4 linked regions of the Drosophila melanogaster genome follow. The protein of the gene in region 4 interacts with the protein of the main gene of each other region in a pairwise test. Each region holds a gene or a part of one and is shown on either strand. Other genes may lie near its edges.

Evidence for each region.
Region 1: the proteins of CG4853 (region 4) and Mic26-27 interact in a two-hybrid assay, tested with the Drosophila melanogaster proteins (one large-scale study listed by BioGRID).
Region 2: the proteins of CG4853 (region 4) and Roe1 interact in a two-hybrid assay, tested with the Drosophila melanogaster proteins (one large-scale study listed by BioGRID).
Region 3: the proteins of CG4853 (region 4) and CG17327 interact in a two-hybrid assay, tested with the Drosophila melanogaster proteins (one large-scale study listed by BioGRID).

Annotation. Positions count from the first base shown.
Region 1 is NT_033777.3:16,143,896-16,148,619, forward strand, and holds Mic26-27 (MICOS subunit 26/27), read right to left. Parts: upstream 2,961-4,724; 5' UTR 2,680-2,960; coding exon 2,528-2,679; intron 2,465-2,527; coding exon 1,936-2,464; 3' UTR 868-1,935; coding exon of another isoform or gene 733-867; 3' UTR 678-732; coding exon of another isoform or gene 528-677; 3' UTR 506-527; downstream 1-505. Other genes in the region: Sb (stubble), read left to right, coding at 1-297, 528-677, 733-867; CG5916 (uncharacterized protein), read left to right, coding at 3,747-3,775, 3,848-4,479, 4,540-4,724.
Region 2 is NT_033778.4:13,552,279-13,556,152, reverse strand, and holds Roe1 (Roe1), read right to left. Parts: upstream 2,077-3,874; 5' UTR 1,973-2,076; coding exon 1,887-1,972; intron 1,767-1,886; coding exon 1,472-1,766; intron 1,127-1,471; coding exon 866-1,126; 3' UTR 547-865; downstream 1-546. Other genes in the region: link, read right to left, coding at 1-165. UniProt on the Drosophila melanogaster protein: Essential component of the PAM complex, a complex required for the translocation of transit peptide-containing proteins from the inner membrane into the mitochondrial matrix in an ATP-dependent manner.
Region 3 is NT_033777.3:12,996,363-12,999,601, forward strand, and holds CG17327 (uncharacterized protein), read right to left. Parts: upstream 1,365-3,239; 5' UTR 1,161-1,364; coding exon of another isoform or gene 980-1,160; coding exon 560-979; 3' UTR 514-559; downstream 1-513. Other genes in the region: CG7488 (uncharacterized protein), read left to right, coding at 1-262, 320-507; CG44194 (uncharacterized protein), read right to left, coding at 963-1,160; CG7518 (uncharacterized protein), read left to right, coding at 2,223-2,738, 3,079-3,162, 3,221-3,239.
Region 4 is NT_033778.4:17,512,505-17,517,945, reverse strand, and holds CG4853 (uncharacterized protein), read right to left. Parts: upstream 3,730-5,441; 5' UTR 3,530-3,729; exon of another isoform or gene 3,367-3,529; 5' UTR 3,209-3,366; coding exon 2,417-3,208; intron 2,362-2,416; coding exon 1,624-2,361; intron 1,562-1,623; coding exon 1,418-1,561; intron 1,362-1,417; coding exon 1,156-1,361; intron 1,092-1,155; coding exon 842-1,091; 3' UTR 501-841; downstream 1-500. Other genes in the region: APC10 (anaphase promoting complex subunit 10), read left to right, coding at 35-483; CtsK2 (cathepsin K2), read right to left, coding at 4,191-4,896, 4,962-5,170, 5,231-5,441.

The sequences.
Region 1 (4,724 bases), on a different chromosome or scaffold from region 4:
CTGCTCATCTCGCAGATACGCATCCGCGTGGGCGAGTACGACTTCTCGCATGTGCAGGAACAGCTGCCCTACATAGAGCGCGGGGTGGCCAAGAAGGTGGTGCATCCCAAGTATAGCTTCCTCACGTACGAATACGACCTGGCGCTGGTCAAGCTGGAGCAGCCGCTCGAATTCGCGCCGCATGTCAGTCCCATTTGCCTGCCCGAGACGGACAGCCTCCTAATTGGCATGAACGCCACGGTCACCGGCTGGGGTCGTCTCAGCGAGGGCGGCACCCTGCCCTCCGTCCTCCAAGAGGTGAGTGTTAACACGACTTTAAGCTTCATTTTTAGAATTCAGCGACAATGATAACCGCTGCGAATCGAACGCAAAAAATTGTCGGTGTGGTTCTAAATGGGGCGATTGCAATTAGGAAAAGTCAGAGAGATCATAAAAGGGATTTCCAACGTGAATCAAAAGATATATATCATAAATCTAAAAATAAAGTTAAATGCAAGACACAAATGTAATCTAATACATTTTAATAGGTCTCCGTGCCGATTGTAAGTAACGATAATTGCAAATCGATGTTCATGCGAGCTGGTCGCCAGGAGTTCATTCCGGATATATTCCTGTGCGCGGGCTATGAAACGGGAGGGCAGGACTCCTGTCAGGGCGATTCAGGAGGTCCACTGCAGGTGAGATGCCGGATAAAGCAAACCTACGAGATATATGCTAATAAACATTTTGCAGGCCAAGTCGCAGGATGGGCGCTTCTTTCTGGCCGGGATCATCTCCTGGGGCATTGGCTGTGCCGAGGCCAATTTGCCCGGAGTCTGTACGAGAATCTCCAAGTTTACGCCGTGGATACTGGAGCATGTCAGATGATGATCAGAAGATACTGACGACGGCAGATCTACTTTTGTTATTTGTTTTAATTTATCAGTTGTATCTATAAGTTTTGTGTGATTTATCTTAAAGGAATGTTAAGCGTAGTTAGCTTCAATTTAACAATTTTAACATCATGGCCTTGTGGGCCACTGCCACGCCCCTATCCGCACTCACCCATTCACCTACACACACACACACACAGTCAACGCCCACTAATTTAGTCTAGCGAAATGTTAGCACCGTAAGTTGTCTAACAAGGAAATCGGTCGGATTTCGAATGGGATTATCTATTTGTACATAGCCGAAGGGATAGGGGGCTTGGGAGGGGTAGGGGGGATTGGGAGTCATTTGCATGTCCACAAGTTGTTGGTATTTTAGTGTAGTAATATTTAACAATTAACTAAATCTATATTTATTGTAAACAAATGCATGCAGACATCCGAACGTTGTTTGTATCTTGCCCAAAGAACAAGTCTATCTATAGCGATGCGAAAGCTCGAGAGCAATAAAAGATTAATGAAAATATTGTCTAATAAATAATGCCGCAATCGGAGAATTGGTCCGCTCGAGATACCCATCGCTATAAGAGCCGATTTCCTCCTCAGCAATAGCAGCCCCCGAGGGCACCGCAAATGGATGGCCAAGACCATTCACACAATTTGTAGTCATCGCCATGTTCGGCTGCGGGCCATGGTCATTGACGATGATGATTGGCACAATCGGTTTTGCACGTGGGGAGATGGAGGATGGGAGACATCCGCAGCCGACACTTTCCTCCGGATTTCACTTTTCAACAGCTCACTGGCGTGACATTTGACTTGACACCAACACCTCAATTAATCACTCGAAGATTCATGTGAGAGCGGGTTCTGGCCACGGCCCACACACATTTGCCAAGTTAAACCGCCGTTTCACTTTTGGGACGCGAGGCCAATTTATTTCTGGCAACAAGAAAAGAGATAACTACTTTCGGATAGAATTCAAGCTTCATACAACTTAAATCGATGCACACTTTTCGCCCGGATGGAGGTGGACTAGGAGTTTCCTTTAGCGGGAGGGCACTTCCTACTTCTTTTTGGGGAAGATTAGATCCTTTGCCTCATCGTACAGGTCACTGGCCATGTACTTAAGGTCCTCCAGCGAGGTAGGGAAGGGCACTACGGGAACATCCTCTCCTGGCTTTACGCCCTTGATGAAGTTGTAGGCCACGGCGAAGATCTTACGGCCCTCGTAGAGTACCACGCGGCAGTTTTCTTCCGCCTGGCGGGGGTAGCACATGGAGGCGACTGCACCTGCTCCGATGCCCGAATACAACACCTTCTTTATGAAGCCTCCACGGGCGGCGAAGATGAAACCAGCCAGACCGCCCACCACAATGGCTCCGCTGCGGTGCAGGGAGTTCTGGGGCTCGTTCAGCATGTCGATGGTGGACTGGGTGTGTGCCTTAGCGGTTTCCACGTAATGGCCGACAATGCCGGCTTGATCGGCCACTGCCTTATATCCAGACTGCACCTCCTCGCGCACATAGCGGACTCCGGCCTCCAGGTTCTTGTGCAGCACAGAGTCTTGTGGTGGATGCCGTTCTGGCTTGGGTCTGCGGTAGCATTAAAGGAGTATCGTTAAGGCTGGGACCTTTTTCTTGCATTGGGGCACTCACTCTGTCTTGCGCAAGCTGCCGTAGATGGGCAGCTCGCTGGGCCGGCACACCAGGCTGCAGTCCGCCGCACTGGAGGCTGGTTTCTGGGGCTCGGGAGCCGCTTTAACGGCAACCGCCGCCATGATTCCCATCGTTGCCGTTTTGCGCAGCATCTCGAAGTGGTCAGGAGCTGGTTAAAGTGCCTCGCTGGGTCGATCGGAGTGTGTGTACACACGGAATTTGGCCAACTGTTTGGTAAATTGCTTGTTTTACATCAGTTGTTAGACATTGCGTAATTTGTCACAGCACGGTTCGACTGAATGACGCATGACGACGAATGAAAGCAGTGGGTGATTCGTGCAACAGATGTTCACAGCTGTCACGTGTGAGGGTGGTCACGATATATCGGTATTGCTATTAGATTAATTTGTAAGGTCATCTATTTTCTGCATTTGATGATATAAACGAATGAAATCATTAAATTTTTTTGCTTCAAATCCGATTTTTTAAATGCCATCCACCGTTTATTTTCTATTGACACGATTTTAAGCGATATGTAACAAAGCAGTTCGATGTATCGCATCATAATCATCGTAGAATGGAACTAGTTTACCGTTCTACCGTTTTCCCAGTTCGTGACTCTGGTCACTTTCCACAAGACGCGAATTTTATTCACCAGTAAGAACAAAAATATGCAAACTCAAGCCCACTGATAAGCGGACCAGCAATCTTCAATGAAATCACTACTTTTAAATAATCCGCCATCGACCATTTGCAAGCGCGCGTTAAGCGGAGCCAACGCACTCGCCCACGCCCACCCCCTTGTCACCTGTCCGTTGGCCGCCCACCCAAATCGGTCGTCGGTCCGTTAATGTTATCAGTTCAGCAGCGGAGGCAGCAACAACGTCGAGTGGGCGCGCACAAAAGGCCACCCATCGCTCAAGGACGAGGCGTAGGCAGAGGTAGTGCCAGCCAAGGCCAAATGGGCTTATAAATAAATGAAGGGCCCCCAGTTAAAGGCAATATTTATTGACTTTTGCAGCAGGTTCAATCCGTTGCAGTTGCAGCAGAAGCGGTAGAGGCGCAGGCAGCGACGTAACCGCACAACGTGCGCCGAATACGAAATCTTTTTTTGGGGCCATGCCACGAGCCACGAACGGCTGACAGGAAATCGTGGCCAACGACGAAGAAATCCACACTTCTTCACTGTGAGCAATTGAAACTCTAGTCAATAGTTCATATGGATGCTACCGCAAGTTCAAAGTTCAGGTGAGCATTCAGTTATATAGTAATTATTTTCACTTACGCATATCTTTACGCATCTAAACCGCACGTGGTTAGCGATGTGGACGAATATGGCTTCAAGCGTGGCGACCACTTCGACTATAACAACTACTCAAAGTTCATGGATGGTTACCTGAAAACGTTAACGCGGCGCCGCATGAAATGGGAGGCCATTCTGCAGCAAAATACCGATCTCACCCAGGTGGACGCCAAGCTGAAGCGGTACATTCGGAAGGGCATTCCTGGTCCATACCGTCCCGACGTCTGGATGAAGATATCTGGAGCTGCCGCCGCCCAGCGTCGCTCGCCGGATCTCTTTCGCAACCTTCTGCGCACCGAGCCCTTCGACAAAGAAATCAGCGATTCCATATCAATCGATCTACCTCGTACCTTCCCCGACAATATTCACTTCGATATGAAGAAGCAGCGGTTGTACAACATTCTCATCGCCTACGCCCATCACAATCGGGACGTGGGTTACTGCCAAGGTCTTAACTACATAGCCGGCCTCCTGTTGATCGTCACCGACGATGAGGAGAAGTCCTTTTGGCTGCTCAAGCATATCGTTGAAAACATCGTGCCGCAATACCATTCCCATAATATGGCCAATCTGCTGAGGGATCTGGCCGTGTTCCGCGAATTGGTCATCCGGCGAATTCCCGCTGTAAATCGGCATGTGGATAACTTGGGTAAGATTTAGTTTAAAGAACTAAGTCCGTAACCAGTTGCTAACATATTTTTTATTCCAGGCCTGCCCTATCCGGTGATCGCCAGCAAATGGTTCATCTGCATCTTTGCCGAGGTGCTGCCCGTGGAGACTGTGCTACGTATATGGGACTGTGTCTTTGCCGAGGGCTACAAGATCGTTTTTCGTGCCGCCCTAACCATGTTCGTCACTCACAAGAACGCCATTCTGGGCTGTGATGATATTGCT
Region 2 (3,874 bases), 4.0 Mb from region 4:
CAGGGCATTCTGCAGCTTGGAGTCCATTCTAGGTGGGAATTTTCTATTGATGTCCACTATAACAGCGCTGTCTTGTCCATAAAAACGAGGCAGCATCGACACTCTAGCCTGGATGCACTGCACCATGGCCAAGGACCAGAGAAAACGCATTAGCACACCAATCATACCGTTCACTTCAAATGTTTAAGGACAACTAACCAACGAGATAGTTCAAAACCGTTTGAAGTAGACTTTCAACTCTGGCGCAAATCTCGTTTTAGGGAACCCACCATCTGTGCTACCTCTGAATTCATGGGAACGTGCTTGGAAGCCTACCTGCTGGGTCATAGAAAATCACGCATTTCCATTGAATTTTCCACCTACGCGACGAGCAGGAATGCGATTACGCTTCGCTACCTGGTTTTTGTTAACAAAAGAAATGGTTTTTCATGAGGGATTCGAATTTCAAGGGCTAAGGAAAACGGGGAAAATCAAAGGAAACTAAAAAGAGACCTAGATAAACAGAGTCTCCTCCAGATGAGGATGAAATACAAATTTCCGTGGTATATTTCAACAAACTAAAACATGTTTTATTATCGTAATTAAACCTTAAAGTGGAACACTCGATGGCCACGCGTATGGTACAAATTGTGGCCATCAAATCCAGTCACAGATCTCTTAGAAACTAGGAGGAATTCTAAATTCGCAAGCTTTGCCCGAAGGATGCGTTTGTGGGATAGGTTGTATTTACACAGGGTTTACGTACATGAATTTTGCAGCGGAAAACAAATTGCAAACAATTGAGAGACACACGCCATGTAAATTGGTTTAGGGGGGGGGGGGGAGTACTGGGAATTTTACATGCCTCTGGGCAGCCGCATGGCTATCAACACTTCGACACGCCCACCAAGGCCGGACGTATGCAACGCTCGTGCAGTTTGTAGCCCAGCTTGGTCACCTCCACCACGGTGTTGGGCTCGACGGTCTTGTCCTCCTTCTGGAACAGCGCCTCGTGCTGATTGGGGTCGAACTTCTGGTTGATGGGATCCAGTGGCTCCAGTCCGTGTCGCTTGAACACCTGCAGCAGCGAGGCGCGCGTCATGGTGAGGCCCTCGTACAGGTTCTTCAAATCAGCATTGCCGCTGAGCTGCAATAATTAAGATCATTAGTAAGGGTAGCTTTAAGAATGTTAATGCAAAACGATTAAACTATCTATTAAGTCTAAAATGGCTAACAAGTTATCCAAATATCTCAATTTAAAATACCCCAACAAATCTATATGTACAATTAGATGTATGTAATGCAATCGGGTTTGTTATCTCTCAGATAGAAATGGAAAGATCGGGAAAATACACCTTAAAATGCTATGAAGATTTTCAAGTATTGGCAACAAATAATTACGAAATTCTTATCTCAACATATGCAACTTCATTGCGAGTCTGAATCCTTAAGATACCTTAAACCTTAAATCTTAAGATAAGATAGTTTGTACCTTATCCTTGGGCACCGCCTGTGTGGCATGTCCCAGTGTGTCCGCCACCTCGAGCAGATCCTTGCAGAAGCTCTGGATGCCAAAGATCTTGGCGTCGCTGATCTGTTTGTTCAGTCGGTTCCTCATGTTTTCGCTGTCGGCTAGCGAACGCTTGTATTTGTCCATTAGCTCGGCATTCTGCTCCTTGGCGGCGGCCAGTTCCTTGGTGAGTTTCTCAACTTCTGGCGACGATTCGGTGGCCTTCTGCTCTGTCGCTTCTTCCGGCTGTTTCTCTGTGCTGTACAAACGCAGGGCACTGGTTGTGTGGTAGACGATTGGGAGTGAGACGGGAGGCAATGTTAGAATTACATGCGAAACGACAAACGTGCGCCCTCATTACGTCACAGATAAGAGGAAGCAATGCAACCGGAATTACCTCATATTTTGAGAAGTGACCGATGACCTCAGGTGGACGAGTCGCCGGCCAAACATCTGCAGTGGTAAGGCTGCCTTTGCTGACATTATGCTTAGCTTTTTCGTACGTTAAATAAACTTATTCCGCTTTTGACGTAAAATCGTCGGCTTCACAGCTCTCTCAACAATCGATGTGTGTTCGATAGTAATTGTTTATCGATTCCACCCGGTGTTGCCGCTTAGTGTGACCGCAGCGCAGCTGTAGAATGCAACAGTCAAGTCGGATGTAGAATAGATGTAAGCTCGGATTCATTCATGTAAAAAATTATTTACATTAAATCCAAAGAAAATCTCTTTATATAACTAAAATACTTAAAAATAAATTAAGAAGGAAATCGGTGCAAGTAATAAATAAATATTTAAATAGCATCAATATTACCAAAATGAAATCAAAAATGTATGAAATTTTACCACTTTACACACTTAAACCCAAAAATGCAATAAACAAACAATTATTATTAATAAAGAAATCCCTACTTGATCAGTAGTTCCTGACACCCCTGAGAATTCACCTTGGTCATAAATACAAATTTAAAGCGACAAAATATTTCTTATATAAAATGGACAAACGGAATATGCAAATGGCATATAAAAATGTGAAAATGTGTATCGACAATATTGGCAGGCGCAGGTCCACTTAAAATCGATCGGTGTTAATGCAAAAATGGGCCTATATTCTTGGCGCTACCTTCGGACATATATTATTAAGAGTGCGCCACCGGCTATTAATCCACGCATAGCTTATAAATCGATCTCATACCAGATCGGCCACGCCCCGGGGCCGCCAAAATATGGACCGCTCGAAAAAAGTTGCTCTGGAAATGTAAATATCGGAAGGCTCTTAATGAATTCAAAGTACGAGTGTACGAGGCGGGCATAGCATCTATTCAACAACTTACCTCTCCGATCGCACTGCCAAGTATTACATATGCGCATGCATTGTATATATTTTGGAAAACGAAGCACGAGAAGTCACTTAGTTGGATCTCGCCACCGGAACAACGAGGTTGTCGTCTCAAAACTCGGTTTTTTTTTCATACTTTTCCAATAAAAAAAAACAACAAAAAATGCGTGAGGAGGATCTCCAATTGGCCCTCCAAATGGTGGCAAGTACCTCGGTGTCCAGTTCTCTGGAGGAGGAAAATGATGGAGCGGCAGCCACGTCGCCGGGCAACTCACCCAAGCCATTGAGAAGAGTCCTGGATTTGAGTGAGAGGCGTAAACAATTCAGGTGGGTGGACTAAGAAAGCTTCACAGGAAGGGAAATAAAGAGGTAAACATAGTAAACATGTAGTTTAGACTAGGTTTTATACAAAAACTACAGCTAAAGCTAGTTTCAACAGTGTCTATAGTAGATTTCCTATTAAAGAAAGATTCCAAGTGCTATTAATAGCTATCTGTGCAATAAAAACACATTAAAAAACAATATATTAAATGATATTCTTAGATCTAATTAAAGTTTTTCACACAATGCCATTTCTCCGCCATATAGTTGTATATTGTTTATAAGCGGTTCTAAAAATAAACAACAAAAATGTTTGTTTGAGAGGTTAAAAGCACTCAAAAACACGTACAAATTAGGCTAAAAATAAAAATGGTGTTTTCACGTGCCTGACTAATTTGCAATGCCAAGTACACTCCTTTGTCGACATTAATTATGAATGACGAATGCTCTTCTGAATGACGAAGGTGAAGACATCCGTTGGGTTTTTAAATTTCGCGCTTACTTTCGCGATGGGCCAAGAAATCGATGCTATCGATTATTTAATCGACTTATTGACAGCCCTAGCCAAAACTTTGACCAGTTTTTTTTTTGCATCGAAAGAATTCGTTAACAATCAGTGCGGTGTACTGCATTTAAACGGCATATATAGCACGGCATTCCTCCAGATAGGGCACAGATGTGTCCCTGATCTCTCCAAGCATCTGCAGGCATACAAGTGGAATGCC
Region 3 (3,239 bases), on a different chromosome or scaffold from region 4:
AACAAGCGGGAGTCTAGCTGGAGCCATTTTAGCGACGTGTTTCTTGTTTCCGCCTTGACCGGCAATGGGCTGCAGGAGATGCAGAACTACCTGGTGGGCCAGGCTAAGCCCAGGGATTGGAAATACCCAGCTGACATTCATACGGACTCCAGCCCAGAAGCATTAATTGTGGAGAGTGTGCGGGCTCGTCTGCTGGACTACTTGCCGCAGGAGATACCCTACAACCTTAAGTGCGAGATCGAGTACTACAGTGTGGAAAAAAGTGAGTACTTCTGTACACTCGTAAAGAAATCCTTTTCAATTCCGATTTTCTTTGCAGATGTTGTCTACACATCCGTGCAGGTTCAGTGCCCCACCACGCGAATCGAGCGCCTAATCTGTGGCGAGGGTAATGGCAAGCTGCGGCAGATCACGGAGCGAGTTACATCAGACCTGGTGGAGATGTTCGGCCAAGCAGTGTCCCTTACTATATCTACAGTTTCCAAGGGCAAGAAGACCGCCGCTTGAGCACTTGTTGATTACTTGTACTTTATTTGTAACGTTGCATAAACCTAAGAGTTCACAAAAGCTTCAAATGCGCCACCAATTTGTCTAGATCTTCGGCAGGGGCTGGACCCAGTCCGAGGACCGTTGCTGTCCCAGATTCCAGCTGAGTGCGCCCGGCATCCCTCACCAAGGCGGCCACCACGTTCGACTCTTGGGCCTGTCGCTCCAGGGAGTTTAGCTGCTCGAAGTTGTCCACGCGCAGCACTATCTTCGGCTGTCCCAGGCGACACCAACGCTGCAGAATGGCGTTCTGCAGCTTGGTTCCCTGCACAGAGCTCTGGTAGCACATGACCGCCGCATGGGCGCACTGGGCCGCTGTCTTTCCCTTGGACATCTTTAGGTCGGTTCGGACCACCAGCGCCAGTTTGGTGGACTTGCCGAAGGCCAAACCGTTGCTGAGGAACTTCTGCAGGATGCTACTTGACGTGGGCATACTTCTGGCTCTGCTGCTCCACGTACTTCTGCATGCACGCCCGGAACTCTTTCACCTTCTCCTGGCAAGCCCTCCAGTCGCCCGTCTCGGCGATACACTCCTGCACCTTGTAGTGAAGCTCTATGCAGCCGGTCTTCTTCAGCATTAGTTCCACGGGATCCTGGTCCGTCGATGCGGACATTTTCTTCTCCACTTCGCCGGCTGAATTCGTTCGTTTCGAAATTACGAAATTCGGTCAGGGTTGTCAACACATCGAAGGGACACGGATATATTCTGTACGACATTTGGCCCACTATCGAATTGAAAGAATTTACTGTAAAATATATTTTCTTGCATTATAAATGTGTTTATTCCATAGACAGAATAGGAAATTTTTAGATCTTTGGGACCTTTTTCTGTATAAATACATGATGATTTGTTTTACCTACAATATATGTTGAAAAAAGTATATGAAACATACATTCCTATGGTTTTACAATTTTTGTATGGCTTAAAATGCTTTTTTAACATTTCCCAAATCAAATTTTTAAGAACGCATTAGTATAGTTTTCTAAGAATGGACCACACAGAAGTAAAGTAAAGCTCATATAAATAAAAGTTTGTGTTTGTTCTTTGGGATAGATGTAGAAAACTTTTCGGCCAAACAAGTGTGCACGGGGTATGACCATTTATTCGTGACTCTTGCGCGGCGTTGCGGTAATTTGAGCGAAGGCCGCCACGGGCACACCGATGCGAATGCAATCAACGAGAAACGAGCGAATTGCAACGAGCAGGCGAAAAATCACAAAAAGCGGAAAATCACAACAATCGTGGGTGCAAACGAAACGGAAACTGCGAGGCAACGGAAAGTCGGGTCCCGGAAAATCCAAACGGATGGCCCTGCAGTGAAACGCTGATGAAAGCAGAGGCGCACTTGGCGCGATTCGAGGGGCAAAGCGCGTTGCGTTGTGCTGCTCTGCGTTCTTTTCCAAAACCGATTTCGATTCCAAAAACCAAACCAATCCAATACCCACACTTATACACTTGCACACCGACACACCAGCGCACACACACAGACACGCGCGCGCATACAGTGAGCGAGTGAAAGTGCATCTACATCTGTGATTTCGTATATAATAATGCGTCGCGCATACGCGGATTTGGCCAGCAGAAGCACCAAAGACTAACAAGTGATCCGGAGCCGGGGACTGACTGAGTTGGCTGGGCTCATTGACCCATCCACCGCGTGAAAGCCCCGCCAGAAATGGCCGATCAGGTGGCGCACACCAAAGAAACGGATGCAGATGAGCCGCTGGTCAATGGCGAACTGCCAATGGAGGAGGCGCCGCCTTCCTGCTGCCATGTGATGTCTCTGTCCTCCATGGACGTAGATGTAGATGCGGATGCGGAGGGCGATGTGGATGCCACAGCGTCCTCCTCCTGCGTCGCCACCGCTTCCCAGCTGAATCCGTCGCCACCGCCTGCTGGTGTCCAACAGGCGAAGCCGGCGCGGAGCAGCTCACCGCCATGCCAGCTCCTGGAGCGGCTCAGCTTTCCCGACGGCAACATCATCAACACGCTGCACACGATCCTCGCCCTGCCTCCTTTTGATCCTTATGCCCCCGCCCCCAAAGCGGAGACGGTCTACAAGGAGGTCGTATCGCTGATGCAGTGGAGCCAGCGGGAAGACAACGCCATCGAACTGGAGCTCAGCGACAAGCTGCTGCACGAGTGCGAGCACAAGGGCGGCGATCCCAACGATGAGACGCGATCGTATTTGGTGGGTTCCCAGAAGCTGCCCGAAAGCTGTGGAGATCGATTTCATTTCATGTATTTTTTTTATTTAAATGTACTATTAAAGATGTGTGTGGGATTTTTTTATATTATACCTACATTTAGATTGGATTTAATGAGTTATCAAATCAAATGGGATAGAAATTATCTTATTAGATCGACTTTAGATGTTTCGAAATACTTAAACATGATTTTTTTTGGTTTAAAGAACACTTATTTGAAATTATGCTTTAGAATATTGATAGGTGCAATCATACCAAATACATTATATTTGAGAATATAAAGCTTTCTCAGTAAATACTCACTATCGTTCACCTTCTTTTCAGATGGCCATTGAGAACATGCGCCTGTTCTCTGAGGATCCAAAGAATCCGCTTCGTGACGCCGACGGACAGCTGCGTGCAATTACGGTGTGTTTGCTTGAAAGGATTAAGATGTATAACGAAACGTACTCCTAATCCATTGTAGCTATATTTCCAGAATCTTG
Region 4 (5,441 bases):
CCTTACATATTCTACAATTTTCTTTGGCCTTCAGGATTTGGTGTAGAGCGTTTGCGAGACAACATCATGGATACTTATTGGCAGTCGGACGGTCAGCTTCCCCACCTGGTCAACATTCAATTCCACAAGCGTACGAACATCAGTCAGATTTACATATACACGGATTACAAGCTGGACGAGAGTTACACGCCATCAAGGATCTCCATACGATCTGGAACGAACTTCAACGACTTGCAGGAGCTGCAGGTGATGGACCTGACCGAACCCACCGGCTGGGTGCAGATACCCATTAAGGATGGGAACGTCAAGTCCATACGCACCTTCATGCTTCAGATTGCTGTGATCTCGAACCACCAGAATGGCAGGGACACCCACATGCGCCAGATCCGCATCCATGCGCCCGTCGAGGGCAAGCACTATCCTCTGGAACTGTTTGGCAAGTTTGGAACGGTCGACTTTCAGAAGTTCGCCACCATTCGTTAGGGAAAACTTTGGGATTTATCGAAGTCTTTTATTTTTATGTATTTTTCGGGGTATATAACTGCTAAAATACAACATTTAAAACATTACTTTAGTAATTTTATGCATATTTTTGGTGTTTCTAATTAAATGCCCGTCACTTGTATATATATAATTCGAATGCAAATAAATATATACCGTCGTCTAAGCTTAAGTACAAATTAACAAACACAGTGGAAGTGTAAGAGTTATTATTGTTACTGTTTTATCGCGATACAAATGCAAAATGTGAAAATGGAACGCCAACGAAAGAGTGCGAGAATTATTGCATCGTTTTGTATTGTATTGCACTATCTCGAGGATTGTCGTTAATGATTGGTGATTATGTGTTCGATTTCCTTGCAGCTTTCAACGTCTTGTAGTGATCCTTCTCCTCGCCGGTCTCGGGTGGCTCGCTTTCGTAGGAGGCCTTCATCAAAAGATCCTCGCTCAGCACCTCCGCCTTCAACAGGTAGGACACCACACTAGGCAACTGCTCGTATGGACAGTCCAATCGCTGCCATTTGCCAAAATTCCGCAGCTGGGTGCCCAAATGAAGGCACTTCTCAAAGTTTATGTATCCGTTGGCCAATCTGCAAACGGATTTGAATTCGGTTAATCTCGAAACAGAGCTCATTTATGCACAAACAAACTCACTTTGTTTCATGGCTCTCGTTAATGGCATGCAAATCTTTGAGGAACAGCGAGAAGAATGGGATGATGGCACGCTCAATTTCGTTGGCCATTTCCCTTTCCGAACGCCAAACAGCTGCCTTCATGGTGGATCTGTAGTTAAGAAAGTTCGAACTGGGATCCATTTGATGCTCCAAACCCTCGAACTTTGTCGTCTGCACTTTGGCCCACTATAAAAAATAGTAGTAAAATCAGACTTCACTCGTTTTACTTAACGAAAACTCACCGTTTTCTTTAGGCGAGCTATGGCAGTAAGATTCAATGCTGTTAGAATGGCCATCAAGCTGTTGAAGTTGCCTGTGTTAAAGCATTCCAGAGCTGTTTCCACCCAGAAGTCGATCATTTGTGCTCTCTGGGACTTTTTGCCCAACTAGGAACGAACGAATCATATTTTTTATTTGATTAATGGTTAATTTTTTTTTTAGTACTCACCTTTAATATTTCCGTTGCAGTCAAGTAGCTTAGCTGGTTGAACCACTGCACGTAACTGTCGATTGTCACCTGGCTGATGCAATTCGAACCCAAGGTGCCCGCCTTGGTTTGGCTTATGCAGGTCTTCAGCTCATCCTTTTCGAGGATTTCCACAAACTCCTCAAGACGTATTTGTGACAGATAGGCGTACTCGATGGCATAAAGTTGGTGAGCCAACTCGAAGGCACTGCTGCAGTTGTTTAGCACATTGTCTGTTTTGTAGACATTGGCGGCAAAGCGTTTCAGCGACTTAATACTGCTCTGACGTCCCAACGAGCTGGCCGACGATTGCTTGGTAAGCAGGTTATTTAGTTGACTTCGTCCATTTTCGTCCTTTTGCGCCAAAGCTTGGGGAATTCCATCCAAAAAAGCTGCCAATCCTTTTACATTACGCTTATTTTCCAGCTCCTGCAATAGCAGTTCATGGCTAAAGTCCCCGGGACAGGTGTCTAGCCATTCGTTCAAAAGTCGTAACACGTTTTCCTCCTCATTATCAATCTTGGCAATGATTTTGGAAAGCAGCTGGTGTGGTGGTGAAAACAAGCGGGAAGTGGTCAGAAAGGCAAACCGCAAATCCTTAGTATTATTATTGATAAGCAGGTTGACCACCGAATCCAGGTTGCCCTTCTTGGGTATGTCTTTGGCGTAAACTGGCGCTGTTTGGCAATCGAATGGCTCTGTGATCTTCAAGTGGGTGTTCTAATTTAGGTAAATTATTAGTTATTTAGCGACTGGCAAATCCGTTCAAACTTACTAGGATAGAAACCGCATCCGACTCATCTGCGGAGCTGGGAATGTCGCAGTACAAAGAGTCGGTTAAGGTGTCACGTGGATGTGACCAGGGTGCACTCATCGACACGCTGTGGAAGAGGCCATCGTGCCCGGAGTCGCAGCTGCTTATATTCGAGCTTTTGTCCCCAATAGTGGTGGATGATACAGATCCGATGACCTGATCGGATCCAGTAATAGCAGAGCTGCTGGACATAAGGGAAGCATTCGAGAAGGTTTGGTTCAGCTGCCGGCCCAAAGGATCAACTGGACGCTCGTCCGAGTCTGTGGCCTGCGATGCGAACGTGGAATTCGAAGTGGTTCGGTATTTGAGGGCATTCTCGGGAGTGGCACGCGCCAAGGCCGACTGCTGCTTGACAGGATGCCAGATCTCTTTCTGGTGCGACTGATGGTTAAAGTTTTCCTTGGTCTCCACGGTGCGTTCGTCTAGGATTTGTCCGTTGCGCGAGACCAGCACCTCCTCCGTGGTGGTCAGAGAGGACTTGACGGTCAACGAGGTCTCTACCTCGATGGGCTGTTGGGCCAATCCGGCGCGGAAGAGCAATTGATTCAGGTGCTCAACCGATGGCATCTGCCCCTCCAGCAAAGCTGCCTTTATGGCACTGGCATCATCCGCCGGCAGCCCATCCAGCTTCACCGGCACTCCGTTGACCAGCAACACCTCCTCCTGCTGCAGCGAGGATGAGGTTTCGCAGTCCACGATCTTGACATCCTTGCCGAACAGGGACTCCACAGCGTTTAGGATATCTTCGTCCATGCTTGGGGCGGGGTTATCGGGGATGGGGAAAGTGCAGACACACGGGGATCTCTGGAGAAACGTGACTATTTGGCTGCGATGGTTGTTAAATGCGTTATGACCACAGGGGGACTCTTTGGATTAGTCGCAATGCACATGCACCACTATCGCGTACATTTCTGGAAAGGAAGGGGCAAGGGGAAACCTCGATTAGCACACACACAGTGGGAGAAAGACAGGTGGCCGGGGGCTTTGGTTTCGTGCGCTCTGGTGACAACGCCCACTTTCCCAAAAGTGGGCTGGTCTCTTCTGATCAGAACATCGCTTCCGGAGCAGACACACCTGCAGGAACACTGTTGCGCGGTGGCCTTCCATCGGACGCACTGCCGCCTTTCGTCACGGCATTCCCCGCCTGCTGCTCATCAAATGTCCGCCGTTTTTTCTGCGCCTAATATAGTTTAATTCGCCAATTGACTTAATTTATTTCTATTATTGTTGTCTCGGTACAGCGATACCATCGATGTTTACACAAATTTGGCAATAATCGATATCCCCAACTGGGGAAATCATCGATTACTTGCTTTCTTGCTGTAAATATCCGCATCTGGCAACGCTTTTAACAGGTTTTAAAATGTCAAGCGTTATTTCCGTTACTATCCCCAAACATTTTTTTAATTTACCCGAATATCTAGATCTTCTTGTTTGGACATAAAGGTCTGGTTATTGTTCACATCAAATTGCTGAACTCCTCTAAAGTTCGTTTAGTGCCCAATTAACCCGTGAATAGTTTTAAATTTCCAAAAGATTCTTGTTTATTCCTCTTTAATTTGTTATCTGTAAATATTTAAGCAAAGCAATGCATTGCATTACTTTCGTTTAACTACTCTAATTTAGCAGCATTATAATTAAGAAAAGACTTTTATTTAAGAAATGGACGCAACCAACGCCAAGTCCACATCACAAACTGCACAGTAAATTTTGCCATAAATTTCGGATTCCCCGCTTAAACCACGGGATAGGAGCACTCCTCAGCAATGAAGCAGTAGTTTTTGCCGCGAGGCAGGCGGAAGTAGCCCTTTTCGCCCCAGGTGTCGTCCCAGGAGTTCTTGACGATCCAGTAATCCTGTCCTTTCTCCGATCCGTAACCGACGACCAGAATGGAGTGGTTCGGCTCGCCCTTGTTGCACTCATCGTCGTTATAGATGCCACCGGCGTAGTTCTTAAGAGTCTCCAAACCATTCACCGAACAGGCAACTGGTCCCAGAGTGGCCACCACCTTCTTCAGCTGCTCCTCGTCCTTGGGCGGAATAGCGGCGAATCCCTGGAGGGTGGCTCCGGACTTGCTGCCATCGTACTTGCACGTGCCCTTGTTGTCAATGTAGGGATAGGCCCCCTCCTGGGACACACCCTTTTGCACCTCATCGATGAAACAGAATGCGGCCTCCTGGAAGCCACCATCGCAGCCATTCAGGCCAAAGTCCTCCACCGGACCACAGTCGACCAGATTCTGCTCAGAGAGATTGGGCAGGCTGCCGGTCTTGCGGAAGGTGTGTCCCTCAATGGCACCAGTGGTGGCAAAGGCCCAACAGGAGCCACAGGTACCCTGGAATTTGACTGGTGTGACACCGCCATGCTCGCGCCAATCGAAGGCATCCGGGATGGGCTTCGCAGGCAGGTTGACCAACTTCAAACTGGCAGCAGCTCGAGCCCTGGGTGCAGATATAGAATTGATAAAATCCTATGCCGGCTGTGCAAATGGTTTGTTAGCACTTACTTAGCCTCCGGACTTCTCTTCAGACCGGTCAATTGACTAAGGAACTCAGAGTGGGTCAGATCGGCGAAGGCGTTCACGGCCTGCTTGAAGGTGTGCACTCCTTGGGCAAAGGCTGCGTTTCCGGCTTCCACCAGGTTCTTGGTGGAAGCGAAGGCACCTTCATGAAGAGCGCGATCAGCGGCGGAGAGATAGGTCTTTCCAGATTGGCTCTGCAAATCGGTTGAAGTTTTACTTCTACCTTTGAAATTGATCAATGCTGCCTATCTCACCAAGAAGTCACCAAAGTCCTGGACGTTTGAGAGCAGCGGCACCTTGGGCACAGCCTTGGCAATGTTGCCCACGGCATTCTGAACGGCGCCGGCCACATTTTGTAAAGCTCCACCCACTCGATTGTTGCCCAAGCCTCCGAGTCCACCTCCAAATCCGCCTCCGAGTCCACCTCCAAATCCGCCTCCAAATCCACCGCCTCCGAATCCCTGG